Daphnia pulex: one gene and its partner. The main gene of each other region encodes a partner of the protein of the gene in region 2 in a complex. Links are inferred from orthologs where the notes say so. Each region holds a gene or a part of one and is shown on either strand. Other genes may lie near its edges.

The links. Proteins that work in one complex are often made in the same cells at the same time.
Region 1: the proteins of origin recognition complex subunit 5-like (region 2) and origin recognition complex subunit 4-like are in contact, whole or in part, in a crystal structure (PDB 4XGC), measured with the Drosophila melanogaster proteins. The link is inferred for Daphnia pulex from reciprocal best matches to the Drosophila melanogaster genes Orc5 and Orc4. Residues at the interface, in NP_477132.1 of Drosophila melanogaster: Met1, Glu2, Glu20, Glu24, Leu25, Asp28, Ser30, Glu31, Thr32, Tyr33, Pro34, Ser35, Phe40, Gly41, His42, Asn100, Met101, Leu102, Val105, Glu106, Arg109, Arg115, Arg132, Asn137, Val141, Arg144, Gln146, Leu148, Asn150, Leu151; in NP_477320.1 of Drosophila melanogaster: Val9, Arg12, Arg13, Lys16, Glu17, Gln20, Arg21, Tyr23, Arg58, Asp89, Asn91, Leu92, His93, Val98, Ser102, Glu147, Tyr250, Arg253, Asn254, Asp257, Glu260, Tyr261, Ala299, Tyr300, Asn303, Phe306, Arg307, Ala310, His311, Arg313.

The regions. Positions count from the first base shown.
Region 1 is NC_060020.1:1,001,088-1,008,463, reverse strand, and holds origin recognition complex subunit 4-like, read right to left. Parts: upstream 4,679-7,376; 5' UTR 4,622-4,678; coding exon 4,427-4,621; intron 4,367-4,426; coding exon 4,241-4,366; intron 4,167-4,240; coding exon 4,118-4,166; intron 4,048-4,117; coding exon 3,896-4,047; intron 3,815-3,895; coding exon 3,512-3,814; intron 3,408-3,511; coding exon 3,273-3,407; intron 3,150-3,272; coding exon 3,000-3,149; intron 2,910-2,999; coding exon 2,745-2,909; 3' UTR 2,620-2,744; downstream 1-2,619. Other genes in the region: uncharacterized protein LOC124192631, read left to right, coding at 771-1,001, 1,093-1,685, 1,808-2,505.
Region 2 is NC_060025.1:8,382,946-8,390,108, forward strand, and holds origin recognition complex subunit 5-like, read left to right. Parts: upstream 1-2,649; 5' UTR 2,650-2,694; coding exon 2,695-2,784; intron 2,785-2,855; coding exon 2,856-3,291; intron 3,292-3,351; coding exon 3,352-3,914; intron 3,915-4,016; coding exon 4,017-4,132; intron 4,133-4,264; coding exon 4,265-4,313; 3' UTR 4,314-4,327; exon of another isoform or gene 4,328-4,420; 3' UTR 4,421-4,500; downstream 4,501-7,163. Other genes in the region: DDB1- and CUL4-associated factor 11-like, read left to right, coding at 1-44, 112-218, 283-564; dnaJ homolog subfamily C member 25 homolog, read right to left, coding at 1,167-2,062, 2,132-2,243; plastin-1-like, read left to right, coding at 4,999-5,091. UniProt on the Drosophila melanogaster protein: Component of the origin recognition complex (ORC) that binds origins of replication. DNA-binding is ATP-dependent, however specific DNA sequences that define origins of replication have not been identified so far.

The sequences.
Region 1 (7,376 bases), on a different chromosome or scaffold from region 2:
TTGCTGCTGATGCCCTTGGGTCGCCATTTTCTTTTAAAAAACTCGGCTTGATAATGTACGCACGAAAGATCCTGACAGACACGCGTGGAATATTTGTGTGTGTAGGTTTTAGGGTGTGTACAACACACATGCTGTAGAGTGCTACTACGGTCAACGATGACAGTCAAGTGAAAACCTCATCGAGAAATTTTGTTTATAGAAAAAGAAAAGGACGCGATGGATGGAATTATCCTTCCGTTTTTATTGGCCTTTTTTCTTTTGTTTTGTGGTCGCCGTGTGTCCGCCGGCTGGTGCGCGCTCTTTTATTAGCGATTAGTTTATTACTTTGGTTTTATTATGCACCTTTTTTTTATTTATTTTTATTCCGTGAGTTTCTCTCTCACGGCTAGAAAAAAGTTGGGACTGCTGCGTGCCAGCAGGGGAATAAAGAATCGACCGCATCGTTTTTGGGAATGGTGGCAATCAGTTCTGTCGACGAGGATATTTTAGCCAGTTGTAATGTTGTTGTTGTTGTTGTTGTGCTGGCCACCGTGAAATAGACGAGTCGCCAAAAAGAAGAGTACAAAACAGAACCTGCTGGACGTGCTTCCGCTGATGAATTGCGCCATATTAACTGTCTACTCATTTTCTTAAGACTCTCTCTCTCTCCCCCCTGACATTCTTTTCCCGTACTCCCGCAACTATTTACATGTTGAAAGATAATGACGAGTTTTCGGTCTGGCATGTAAAAAAGAAATATCATTAACTCTTATATCTGTATAATTACCTAGTCGTTACTGGAGTCTTCACGGCGGCAACTTGTACTCTCCCGGACCGTGTGCCAACGGGACGGGCGGCGCCAGCGGACAGATCAGCTGCGGTGGACAGGCGCACGGCGTCAACTCGGCAAATGGAAATTGCCCAGCTCACCGACGGCCAACCGGCAATCCCGGATGGAACTGGCTACCCTGGCGTCCGTCTGTTTCGGATAGCAGCGACGTCAGCAGCACCGTGCGGACCAGGTATAGTACTTACTTACATTTTCATTAGTCGAGCGGTTTTCTCTGGTTTATTGGCTGGAAATTAACATTTTTCATTTTACGATACCAACAGAAGGACAGCGAATGACCCTGGACCCGTCATGATAGGGCCAGATGATCATTACGGCTTCCCATTGAGCAGCAATGGCAGCAATTACCGCTCGCCGCTGGCTTTGACGAATGCTGCTGGAGGAGGAGTAGCCGGGCCGGAGAGAGTGGCCGGATGGGGTCCTCCGCCGCCGTATTCCAGGGGCAGTACTAGCGAATTGGGCTCCATATCTGCATCGACCCCCATAGGAAGCCTTTCACCGGCTCATCGCAGCCCCGTCTCCACCAAAGACCAGCACATCGGACTGGGCTCTTCGCCAACGGCCAGCAGCAGTGCCGTCGGAGGAGGAGGAAGTAAAGACAGTTCGCTGAGAAAGGATCACAGGGCCGCCCCAGGTTTCCCTGTGAACTTACCGTCACGCCAGCAGCAGCAGCAGCAAAATAAAAGTATGGCCTCTGGTGTCCATCCTTCCCCAGTCAGCCGGATGAATATGGATCCGCGCCGGATGCCGTGGAGTCCGCAGACGGCTGGTATCAATCCGTCCGTCATCTCTAGCGGTCCGCCGCTGTTGACAGCCAGAAATCTTCCAGCGGCTCACCAAACAGGATCGCCATCTGGTATGTGTTGTGCAACTTGTTTTCCGAGCTAATGCACAGCTGTAACTTGTTGGTAGCTATATTTCATTTGTTTTATTTTTCTTTCTTCCCCCCTCCGGCCTGTGTTAAATACCGGTTTCCAGGTAGAAGAGATATGAGCAGCGGTAAATTGGTACCGGAATCTGAACTCTATTTCGCTGATACATCCTCGTATGCCGTCTCGGTGAACCACGACAGCAGCAACTCGTCTGCCATGTATGAGGAAATTCACGGTCACCGATACGACAAAATCCAGCGCCCCGTTGCCAAAGTCACAAGTATCCGTAGCGGCGGCAAGCCCTGCCAGAGATCCAGTTGGGACGGACAGAATCAACGGCCCCCACCCGGTGTCCACTTGGCTGGAGCTGGAGGGCAGCCACGATCGCGACACAGCGCTGACACTGTCAGCAAGGAGAAAATGTTCTCGCCCATCGTCGTGCCCAAGTTCATCAACTGCACCAACACCAACGGCCAGCAGTCGTCGCACTGGGTGCCGCCAGGTCAGCCAGACATGACCGCCGATACCTGTTCATTCGTTCCTTATCGTCGAGCGGCCGTTGTGCCGTCTGGCGGCAGCAGCAACGTCAGCGATGCCCGTTTCGCCGAAGGAGAAGTCTACGAAAACGTCACCAACTTGGATTTCGACGAGAAGAAACCGCGCACCCTCTCGCCCGACGAAGAAGTGGCCATTCTGACCAGCCAGTTTCACGGAACTATCCCCACGGAAATGGAAGTGGAGTCGACTCAGATGGATTCGGAATCGGAAGACAACGATTCCGTTATGAGGGCCGTCAATGTGTAAAATAAAAATCACCATAAGTTACCTAATCTATAATATTATTTCACTATTTACCGTGCTGTGTGTTGTATGGAGCAGTGCCATTGTATATTAATATACTGTAACTGTACTTGCGCGTGTGTGTTTGGCTTTTATTTCTGTTTTCTCTTGTCTCGGCAGATTCACAAATGATACACCTTGAAAAACACAATGGACTTGGGAGAACTTTATTACGCATCATGCCGTGGCATTGGAATGTTTTCTCAGAGGCACGTGTCTGCCAACTGTTTCACTTCGGTGGGAAGATTGGGATACTTGGAGAGAGCAGCTGTTAACTGCTCTGACGTGATGAGAATATGGTAAACAACAAATTCTTTCTGAACCTTCGAGCAAGAAACCCCCTCAACGGGCCGGATCAGCTCCAAAGTCTACAAAAGGAAAATTAAGTAGCATGTTGTTCATTTTCCGCCATCAAATTATTACGTTAAAAAGCTGGGCAAACTTTTTTTGTTATTTACCTCGAGGTGTTCCATTGCCTTCATCGCGATTTGCCGGTCGAATTTCTGCATCGAACTGCTTTTCATTTGCTTGGTATACTCGTAAAAGGCCATTTCGTAATTGCAAGGTTCACCAAAGTAAATTTTATCCAAGTATTTCATGCAGAGTAACTATAAATGAACGAGTTCAAGGAGGAATCAATATAATGTATACAAGTTGGCCAAAATAAAAACGTTTTCATTTTATGATGCTTAGCTAGGCAATATGCGAAATTTCTCTTTTACTATACTCACCAACTGCAGTTCGAGGACAGATAAGCCCTGGAGTTGTAATGTTTTGCAATCCGTAGTTTGAGACTCGATGGCGCTGACAATGTCCTTGGATGAGAGGAAAGGATGATTCTTGCCCAGGCGACATACTGCCACCAGCTTTAAGTGCGTAAAATTCAAGAATAATACGGGTACGTTATTGGCGTTCCTTATTCTGATAACAGTCAAGTGCAGGCTGCTATCTACACGATAATAATAAGTACCAATATGTTTTGCAGAAGACGGAGTTTCGGATTGAGGTTGAATAGTTTCTTGAGTGTGCCTTCGACTAATGGATCTTGTGCAAGATCCTTAATAGACTTGTCCCAGCTGCGAACGTATATGGGTTTTAATCCGGGAGGAGCACGCACCAACTGAAGTAAATTGACAAACGTTTCCGTGTATCTCGTGAAATCAGGTTTCACAAACAAATAAATTTGTCGATGAGAGAACCTAGACCTCACTCTCTTTTCAAACAAAGAAATGGCATCCATTCTACATGTCAATCCAATGACAGCCATTGGCGCCTAAATGCGATAAGATGAGATTATGTTATTGTAAATGTTGAAAAGTGAGGAAAGAGAGAATATGCGAATGAAGCTTTATACTTGAGCAGATTGGCAAACATCAAATAGATTGTATAATAAAGTTTGATTTTTATGCTGACAAAACTGATCAAATTCGTCCATTATAAAAATGATGGATTTTGCTTTTTTCCTGTCAGCCATCTTCAAGGAATTCAGAAGAAAATTTAGATTCTCTAGAAGAAAAAGGGAAATATTCAAATAACCTTTATAAAAGAAGCAAAAATCTAAACTGTTACAATTTACCTGAAAATGAGCCAAATGCTCTGCCAGCTGCTTCCTCCTCTAAAAATAGCTAAAAAGAGATGTCACAATAAATTTAAAAAATTGTCAGGAGGGTCATTACAAACAAAACTGAAAGAAAGTTACTTGGCGAGTGATTTCTTGAATGGCTATCCGATCATCAGTTTGGAAGAAGCCATGCAACTTAATGACAACATAATCTTTCTCAAAGTCACAGACAGCTTCCAGTTCAGCCAGCACACTGTTGATCAACTACAAATTTAACAAATTATTAAGCTGCATCAATCATTTAAAAGGAGTATAGGTGCTTACCAAGGTTTTCCCACTTCCTCTCGGTCCAATTAGGAGAGCTGAATTGTTTTCTCCATTTTGCACCGTGCTTTTAAGTAAATTAAAAACGTAATTCTTGTGTTCTAAAAATTCATCAGGAACTGAAATACTAGAATGATTGTTAAAAACCATTCGTTCTAATAGAATATTACGACAAATATCAGTGCAAGATGCCATTATCGTATCACGTACTGGATTTTGAATCGTGCAGACGATGTTTGACTGAAAAAGGGCGCGCAAACTGACACATAAACATTGTGCTGTCAAAATATGTTTGTTTGTTGTTACAAGGTGGCAGCACAATGTAATCTCTCTAGATTTTCAAATTACTTAACAAATCACAAGAAAACCAAACTCACACAAAAAAACAAACAAGTCAGTTATTCATAGCATTTTCGTGTGACGTGAACTGTATGTATATACGCATATGAAATACTTTGTTAACGCAGTTGGTTTTAAATCTTTTAAACCGTCTTGCCCATCGGTTCCACAGATTATATTCGAAGGCTTGTGTATTGTACGTAAAATCGTATCTGATCGATATCTCATAGTTTAGCTTATTTCTGAAATTGGTGAATCATATGTATAAGTGATTAAGACACCGAATGTATACTTAGGTATCTAATTTGGCCCATATGATAAATGAGTGAACCGCAGCAGGGGGATTAAGGTACAAAATAATTAAGGTCTCCGCTCTCCACGCCCGCGGTGAGTGGTAAATTGACAAAATATTTGGCACAACTTGCACTAAGAAAAAAAAAGTTGAGCCAGCCTGTGGAGTGTTACTTGTTTGACTTAGCTTGTTATCCTGAAGATAAAATTATTTTGAGTTGTTACACAGATTTCCTGGTAGGCAAAAGAACTAGAAAACAAACACTTTGATGATCGAAAACTTCATATTTGGTATGGAATGTGAAAAGGACAATCGAGGTACCGTTCGAACAGTAGGTGATTTCCGATTTGGGTGGAGCCGTTGTCTTTTCTCTGCATAACTAGTTTCAAGGTCCGTGTTATGACCAAATCAAGTTGCATCATTTTTCCATTTAATTTGGATAACCATAAAGTCACAGATGCTCCTGTCACTAAATCCTGGATTGTGTATTCAGCAGTGACTGTATGCCGGTGAAACGTGATCGTATATGGTTCGATCAGTTGATAAATTGGTGACGTAAATGCCGACGGGAAAAACAAAGTAAATTATTTCTTTTTTTTCTGTAGAATGGCTGAGCTGCCACATTCCTTATGGGTGCGTTTCTGTCAGTCTGCTGAAAAATCGCAAATTAATTATTTGCGCGCAAAGTAGAACAAGATTAAAGTCACATTTATTTCTGCCACTTGAAAGATCCCATTTTTGGTTATTGGTGAACCTGAGTCCTGAGATAGAATTTCTTCGTATAAATAGGTTGATACAAAAATATGCTGTTGGTGCAACCGCATTTTTTTTCTTCTTGACATATGTAAGAAAAGAATTCCCAGGTTTTGTAAATGAGATCGCGGATGCAAAAAAATGTTACAACGCAACAAATATTTGCTACCTTGGGGCGATTCAAATTATTGCTCCGCCCTGATCAGGGCGTTGGCCAGTCGTTAAAGTATACTAAAATGAATAACATCAAAGATTTAGCAATTTTTGTGCTAATCGACACAAAATCTCGCACCTTAAAACAAAGTGAAGATAATAGTATTTCATCGTTAAAAAATCAATAAATCTACCAGCAAATAATTTAGAATAGATTTTGAAATATTCCGTGGAACAATTCTTCAGATTTCCTCGATTTTTTTTTTTTTTGTGTGGTTTATTTTTATTTGATGTTATTTCTATTTTTTGCACCACTGTGTTTTCCGGCACATAAATTTTTTGAAGCGATTATTGAACTCCAAAAGTGATTCTGCTTAATCGAAACGAAATCGTGCTGGCATTTCGGACTCCCGAGTCCATGTCTCCCTCCCCCTTTCGACAAACATTTTTGTTGTGTGATTACATTCTTTTCCTGGTTTTTATAGTTGCACAGTGTATATATAGACCCAGAACCAGATTCAGAATTCTTATATTTTTTTCTAGCTGCAGATAGTATTCTATATATTTACTTAAGCATGTAAGCGTCTTGCATTATTCGACTCCCTGGGGATAACCCTGTATAATAACAGTTCAGCGATCCTTTATTTCCTTATTCGTACTTTAAAAAAAAGACCTAATTTGCGACGCATCATTAACGAATAATTTCTACTTGGATTTTTTACTTTCCTTCGGCACATAATTTTTTTGATTACAAGATTTTAATGCTTCGGTCAAAAGTTCAGATATTGTTTGCGATGACTTGGAAGATTCCAATCGATTTCATTTCTAAAGAGGAAGTTCACATTTTTGTAAACACTAAACAGACTCTGGCAAAACGTGAATCGGTCTCCAGCGACTTGAGTAATACTTGAAGTCTTGACTAACGGTGAATAAAAAAAACTCAGACCAACGAGACCAGAAAAAAAAACAAACAATCAATTCGCTGCCATAGGGCTTAGATTTATATTACAAAGAAGTCAGAAAGAAGTTGTCTTTTTTTCTTATAAATTCCAGCAAAAAATCGTCTAGAAGCTTACACGAGCACCTGTGCTGGTTCTAACTTTTTGTTTCTGCTTTTAAATAGTGAGCTGCTGAGGAATACCGAGAAAAAGCTGGAGAACGGAGGCGGGCAGAATCACTTCCAGGCAAGAAAAACCTGAGACCTTAAAAAGACCAGTGTGCATGCATAGCAATCCGGTTTTTTCTTCCACCTTTCTTCGTCAAGACCCCCTCTTTTTTCATTCGTTTGAACTCGAATCAAAAGAAAAAAAGAAGAAGCCTACCTTGTTTTTTGTTTTTTGTCTCTTGCCGAGGCCAAGCAAGAGGATCCAATGGAAATCGATGGGCGGGGTTGAGCAGGATTCGTATTAACCT
Region 2 (7,163 bases):
GCAACGATATATTTACAGTGGTTGTGCAGCTGGAAAAATTTTCAGTGAGACCCCAATAACCTAGTATTATCAATCTAAACCAATTTAATTTTTAAATATTTGCAATTTTAGTTTATGATGTCCTGACTGGAAAGCCTGCAGCGATTCTGACTGGTCATTCTGAATGTGTTCGGGACGTCTCTTGGCATCCATACTCCATGGATATTATCGATTCAGCGGTATGAAATATTATTTCTAATTTTTCTCTATGAATTCCCAAAGTTTAATCAACCGGGGTAATAGTGGGACGGCCGACACTTCAAGTGGTTCCATTCCTCAGCCGATTCCGAGGACGAAATGGATTTGGACACGGAAGAGTACATTACCGACAGCGAATCCAACGATTCCAATCCTAATTGGATGCAGAGGCAGCGCCGCTCATATCGAGATGACGACGCGGCTGATGGCGGAGGTGATCGCGAAGTGCGTAGGAGTCCACGACTGGCCGCTCGAGCAACTCCACAGACGGCCCGGAGAACGTCACAGAGGCAGCGACAAGCAGCCAGCCGCCGCCCTCTTTCATAAGTCTTGTCCGCACCATATATCCTTTAATACAACACACTTGTTTCGAAACACTTCATAACTACAAAAAAAAAACGCAACGCAGTCATTTGTTTCAATTCTGTGTACAGTTATTGGTGTTACCTTTAACTGAAGCAGGCGTGGTGCGCTCAATTCACGCGCTTCTATCGATACGTTAACCTTCCCTCTTTTATTTTACTTTTTTGTGATAGATGATCAACTTCCTCCCGGGTACGATGCATCTAGTTGTGCTGGATAATTTGATGCGTGTGAAACTCTCAAGTAAATGAGAGTGGAAATTTCCAAGAACAATTCTTCTTGTTATTTGTATAATTATTTTTTTTTTTTCATTTTTTTCTCCTGGGTCTTTTATATGTTTATAAAAAAAGGTCTACGTGTACTACTTTTGGGAAGACGGAAATACAGGGCTAAATTCTACGCCAATACGGATTTCTACTCAGCAGAGATTTACAATAACTGCAATTTGATATTTTTGTATTTCGTCAAACAAGGGCGTGAAAAGACTCACTGTCATATGAGATTGGTAAATCACAACACGGGATGAACTTGGATGATGAAGCCACCTAATTTGTCAAATATCTTGATTATGAATCGTCAAAGGTGAGTCGGCTCGTTCCTTTCTTCATGTAACGTCTGTACGCTTTGTGGCGAGCAGATTGAGAGAGTTCTCGTTTCAGATCTTCTTCCTTCTCTGCCTTCCAATCGACTGCATTCGACTTAATCCAAAGTTCCAGTTCGAGATATTCTTCTCGGGTATGGTCCTCAAGAGCATCGAATTCGAGCTGAGAAAGCTTCAGGTTCTTCTTGATCAAATACAACTTTTCTTCTTCACCGTACTCTTCTTTTCGGATGTCAAACTTGTAGACCCAGATAATGTACCAACGGACGTACTGGTAGATGGTGTAGGGCAGAATGATGAGCTGGAACCACAGTATTTGCTTCCAGTCTGGTTTAGAATAGCCTCCGCGAATATCCATTTTCTCTTCGATGACTTTTCGAATAATTTGCTCCTTTTCCTCCTTCTCTTTGGACTTGTCTTTGACTTTCTTGCTGGTATTTTCATTGAACAAGCCTTCTTTCTTGGCAATTTCAAGTGCATGTATCCTGTATTTTTGCACAGTGGTCAAATACTTTATGGCAGTATCATAGCGTTCCCAGGCAGTGTAGTACTGGATCCCAGAAATGATGGTGACACACACAGCAAGAATCAATCTGATGTCGACATTTGGAGCTGTACGCCGTCTGTAATATCTGTAGTAATGCATGTACATTTCTTCTGGATTGTCAACCATGTAGTCATAATCTTCTCTGGAGGCATTATCACTCAGAATTTCATAGGCAGTGGCTATTCTACGAAAATTCTTCTCAGCTTCTTCTTTAGTCACCTCAGGCCCTTGCACATCAGGATGGTACTTCTTTGCAAGAACTCGATAAGCCTTTCCTATAGCACTCCTAGAGCTCTCTCTCGTCACACCAAGCACTAAAATTAAAAAAAAAGAGAAAGCGTTATTACTGAACGTTTTAAAATTAGGTTAACGAAATAGCTCACCATCGTAACAGTTCTCGACTCCACAGTAGAGTCCTTCAATCAAGGAATGGACATATGAGACGTTCAAAAAAACGCAGAAGGTAACAATAAATAGATATGATTTCATTTTCATTATTTTATAAAACAATTATTCCTAATACGATCGATCCACAGTCAAAGTTACAATTTTTTGCAGTTTATCCAACAAGTAGCATAGCGGCACATGCCATTGAGCAAACTGACCCAACTGAACAAACTGTAAAAGTGACAGGAATAGCAGACTACGACACACATTCCTGTCAGCCAACAAGTTCCACGTAATAATAACGGGACAAAAATTGAGATGAAAGCTTACTTACGTAACATTAAGTTTATTATTATCAAATTTATTAAAAAAATTTTAGCAAGACAAAATTTTGCTAGAAAAGTTTCAGTAATTTCATTAAAAATTAGAAATTGGTTTCATTTTTCTGAATATGAATCTGGCAATGTCTACGTTTCATTTCTCCCGCTACGAATTCGCCACTTCTGTTATCTTGATTTTTAAGTTTCTTTTGGCGAGTGAAAGAGCTACGAGAAAAACAATGGAAATAAATTCCATAAAAGAGAATCTAAAAGCTGAAATACCTCATCGAGAACAACAAATTGAAATCTTGGCGGATATCCTTCAAAGCGTGAGACTTGTTATGATTCTTGGGATGTTTACGTCAAATATTTATGAGAACGTGATTGAATTTATTTGCAGAATGCCCTTCCACCTTTCCTGTATGTATATGGCCACACGTCAACCGGAAAATCGTTAGTAGTCCAACGAGTGATTGAATCTGTGGAACATGTTCAGTATGCAGCAATTCACTGCATTGAATGCCTCAGTCCACGCTTTCTCTATGAATCTGTCCTTGAACAGCTGGGAAGTCAAGAACGATGTGACAATGCCAATGAATTTGCCAGATACCTCAAGCAGCTTGGTGATACCAGACCGATTTGTATTGTACTTGATAAGGCCGAAAGGATGCGAGACTTGAGTGATGGAATGATCATCCCAACACTGACCAAAATCCCAGAGTTTACAGGTCTCAACATTTGCATCATCTTCATTTCAGAAATCCCCTTTGAGAAGTTTCGGTGTGGCACTGGAAGTCTCGATCCCATACAGATATTTTTCCCCCAGTATAGCAAAGGTATTTATTGATTCAATTGTAAACACAACATCTTAATCAACCATTTCTCAAATTTTGTAGAAGAAATTCTGGATCTACTGATGAAGGAATGCCGACAACCTGAACATTCATCTCTTTACCAGACATATCTTTCCATGATATTGGGTGTCTTCCTGGTGGCTTGTCGCGATTTCTGCGAACTTCGCTACATAGCCGCGCAGCATTGGGAAGCCTTTATGGAGCCCATCCATTCGGGCGAAATCGACAAAACTCAATCAGTGAAATTATGGCGACATCTTGAACCGAAACTTCGCTCCAGTCTGAACCAAGTTTACGTCCGAGGTCCTGATGCATGCGGGACCCAAATAGGCCTGAAAATGGAGCTTCCATTCTTCTCCAAGTTCCTTATCATCGCTGCCTATCTGGCGAGTTACAATCCGCCCCGTTACGATCGTCGTTTATTCGTCAAAGCCAAAGAAGGCAGGAAGAAGAAAGACAAAGGTCTCAAGTCATTGAAGAAGCAAAAGTTGCACAACGCCGCCCGTTTGATGGGACCCAAAGTCTTCCCCATCGATCGATTGATGGCCATTTTCTATTCGATCGTTGAGGAACGAGTTACGCCGTCCCTAAATATATTTGTGCAGGTCTGAGCTCTTTTTTTTTTCCTTGTTGTTGTTAATCGCGTTATTTTTTGGCCAATTATTTACGTTCGAGATTGTGACGCCTCTTCGTTGTTCGACACACAGATTTCTACTTTGGTTTCCCTAAAGCTCATCACACACACGGGATCAGCGGCCATGTTTCAAGGAGTTCCGAAATACCGGTGCAATGCCGGTTACGATCTAGTCAGAAGTTTAGCCAGGTAAACATTTAAATTTAAATAGATTACCTCCGAGTTCAACCGTTAATCTAGTCCATGTTTTACGATACCAAAAGATTAAACTACTTGACACGATTACAATAATAAATGCTCACAAATTTCTTTTGATTACAGGACGGTGAATTTCGAGCTGGGACGTTACCTCTACGACACAACTGTTTGATCTTGCTTTAAATTGTAGGCAGTATATTATTTCCCTCACTTGATAACAAAAGAAGAGAATTAGCCTTGTATTATATTTATTAAAATTTTTCTTTTTTTTTCTTCAAGTTTTCTTTATAAACCCGTGTCCCCGCCCCCTACATCCTCGAGTAAGAGATAACAAACAAGTACACACCTCATTTCTTAAACTTTTCTTTTTTTTTGAAACTCTTAACCGAGTGTCGGAATGATGAAGTAATCAAATTACAACCCAGAAAAAGATAAGAAAGGCGACGTTTTTCAATTATATATAAATGTGTTCATGACTAAGACGATTTCTGACCGACGTCTGTTCACAAAAAAAAACCCTTTATCATATTAGACCACATATGGTCATAAGAGTCTCTGTAATTCGGTGAAGCGATATCAAGTTGATTCCCCCCCTAAGCGGATACTATTTACCGTCGTGTGTGTGTAAAAGGCGTTGTTTGATTTCTAATCGCCCCAACAAAAAATATATAGCAGCTGATAAGGCACATGTATAAGAGCTACGTCGAGGGCGGGGTCACAGAGGGGGGAAGGAAATGAAAAGTGGGAAGGGCCAAGCCGCAAACGTTTTTTTGAAAAAAGACCCCGCTTGGGGCTTTTAAATAAACCGGCGAGCACACGACGGCAACAGTGCCTTGCCAGACGTCAAGCCAAGTAAGATGGCGCTACACCAGTGGAATGGAGCTGCTTCTTCGAATATACGTAAATTTTCCGAAGAAGAACGACAAGAACTTCGTGAACAGTTTGCCAGCGTGAGTGTGGATATTATTACCGTTATATTCCATTTTTATTTTCACAATCACCACAATCTTTTGGGTATTTGTGTGGCTTGATTAGCTTAATCAGGTTATACCAGCTCTCGAAAAATTTCGGTTTGAGTAGCAGATGACAGGTCTCAACTGTCAGAGCCCCGCCTAAGTTAATTGACTTTCCTTATTTCTATTCCTGACACGGCGAAAAAAGAGAAAGAAAAACCTTATTTCTTTTTTTATTTCTTACGAGGAAAGAGAAAACGATAAAAGAATGTTTAATTCTTTTCGAATGTCTGAATTTTTCTCGGTCGTTTCCAAAAGCTATGTGGGATTCGACACAGGAAAATGTGATCGTTACCTGCTGATATAGCCCACATAGTACATACGTGTGTGTTATATTTGTTTTGTTTTTATCGTATCCGTTTTTTGAATTGAGAGCAAAAGTCGTCAACGATAATTTTTACTCGTTTTCCAGCTTTGATTCGATTGTTGAGCGACCGATACTTGTGCATCGGTATGAGTCACGTTTTTCTGTAGTTCCGCCGCCAAATATGGACGTCTCTTTTTTTTAGTTAACTTTTCTCTTATCGAATCGACATTTCTTGAATCGTTTCGTTGTGTGGACTTCTTGTAAAAAACCCACACGACCGGACATCCTGTCGTCACTTTCCCATTCGCCGCTATTCCGACGATTGCGTCACGATGTCGAAACACCCATTTCTGCCATTTTGCGTGATATATACAGTTGGAGAGGCTTTAACAAATAATTCCCCAAGTAGTAGTAAAGTCAAGTAAGTACTAGTGGCAGAGCGTTAGATAACAGGCGAAGACAGGAGAATGATTTTCTGGCCTCAAGGAAAAAAACAAAAAAGGTTTAAAAAAGAAAAATGATAATTATTGTTTTCCCTAAAATTCTTTTGCCCTTAAACAAGTGGAGTGTCTTGGCGTGAGGAAGATTCTTGTGTTATTCCTCTGACTCTTTTTAAAAAACAGTCTTGTGTGTGCCTTATATGGCCTTGGTAAAGTAGTTTCCCGCTATGGAAATGAAGCCGAGCCTCGGTCGATTCAAGGCCCCCCACCTTTTTCTTCTTCTTTCATCTTTCCTTCCTTCTTCTTCTTCTTTTATCTTCTTCTTCTCCCCCCAACCGACACACATATCTCTTTTCCAACATTCTTTCCAGCTGCTGATCCTCTCTCCATTTAAGAAGATTTTTTTCCCCCTTTTTATTTTTCAATTTTATATTTTAAATCCCCAAAAAGTTCTTAAATTTATACCATTTAGATTCTTGGCCATCTTATCGTTTCTTTTACTTGTCACTTTGTTGTGTCTCTTGTCGTATAAAGTAGAGAAATAACCGGTCGGACATGGCTAGCTAATCTGCTTATACCTATATTGGACTTTGTTTTCGGTTTAACTGTAGCATTGATTGACTTTGAGGTGACCATCATTTTACGTCATCTCGTGTATCGTCAGCTTTGGAAATAACTTTTTACTTTATCTCTTCGTGTGTGGGTTTTTTTTAAATTCCAAGTTGTTGTTTGGTTATCCGACTTGAAATTGGAAGCCCTAATGTGTGTGTTTGACAGTTTAGGGGACAACTGTGCACTGAATAGGGTGTATATAAGGTAGGGGAGGTCTGTGTCGGCATGTTGGCCAAGCATATGCTACCGACAACGTGTGTACTATTCTTAATTTTTTATTTTTTTAAAAGTGGGGGGTAGAATTGAACAAACGCCGCCTCCCGCATGGGTTTTTCTTCTTTTTTTGCCTTTTTTGTTTTTTAATATTTTTCAGGATTTTTAATGGGAATTCTTTTTTCGGAGAAGGTCACGCTCGTACGATCCGCACGCGTACCGACAACTACCGCATAAAAGGAAGAATGGTGGACTTTGTAATATCTTGACCAAACGAAACAAAAGTTAAAAATAAAACCCTTTTTTTTTAAAGGAATGCCGAAAGAATAGAAAATGAAATTGTTTTTTTTTTAGCAGAGCCGAAATATTTCTAAATGTGAAAACCGCGTTCAAAAATTTTCAAGCCCCGAGGGACTTGTGACAAAAGAAGAAAAAAT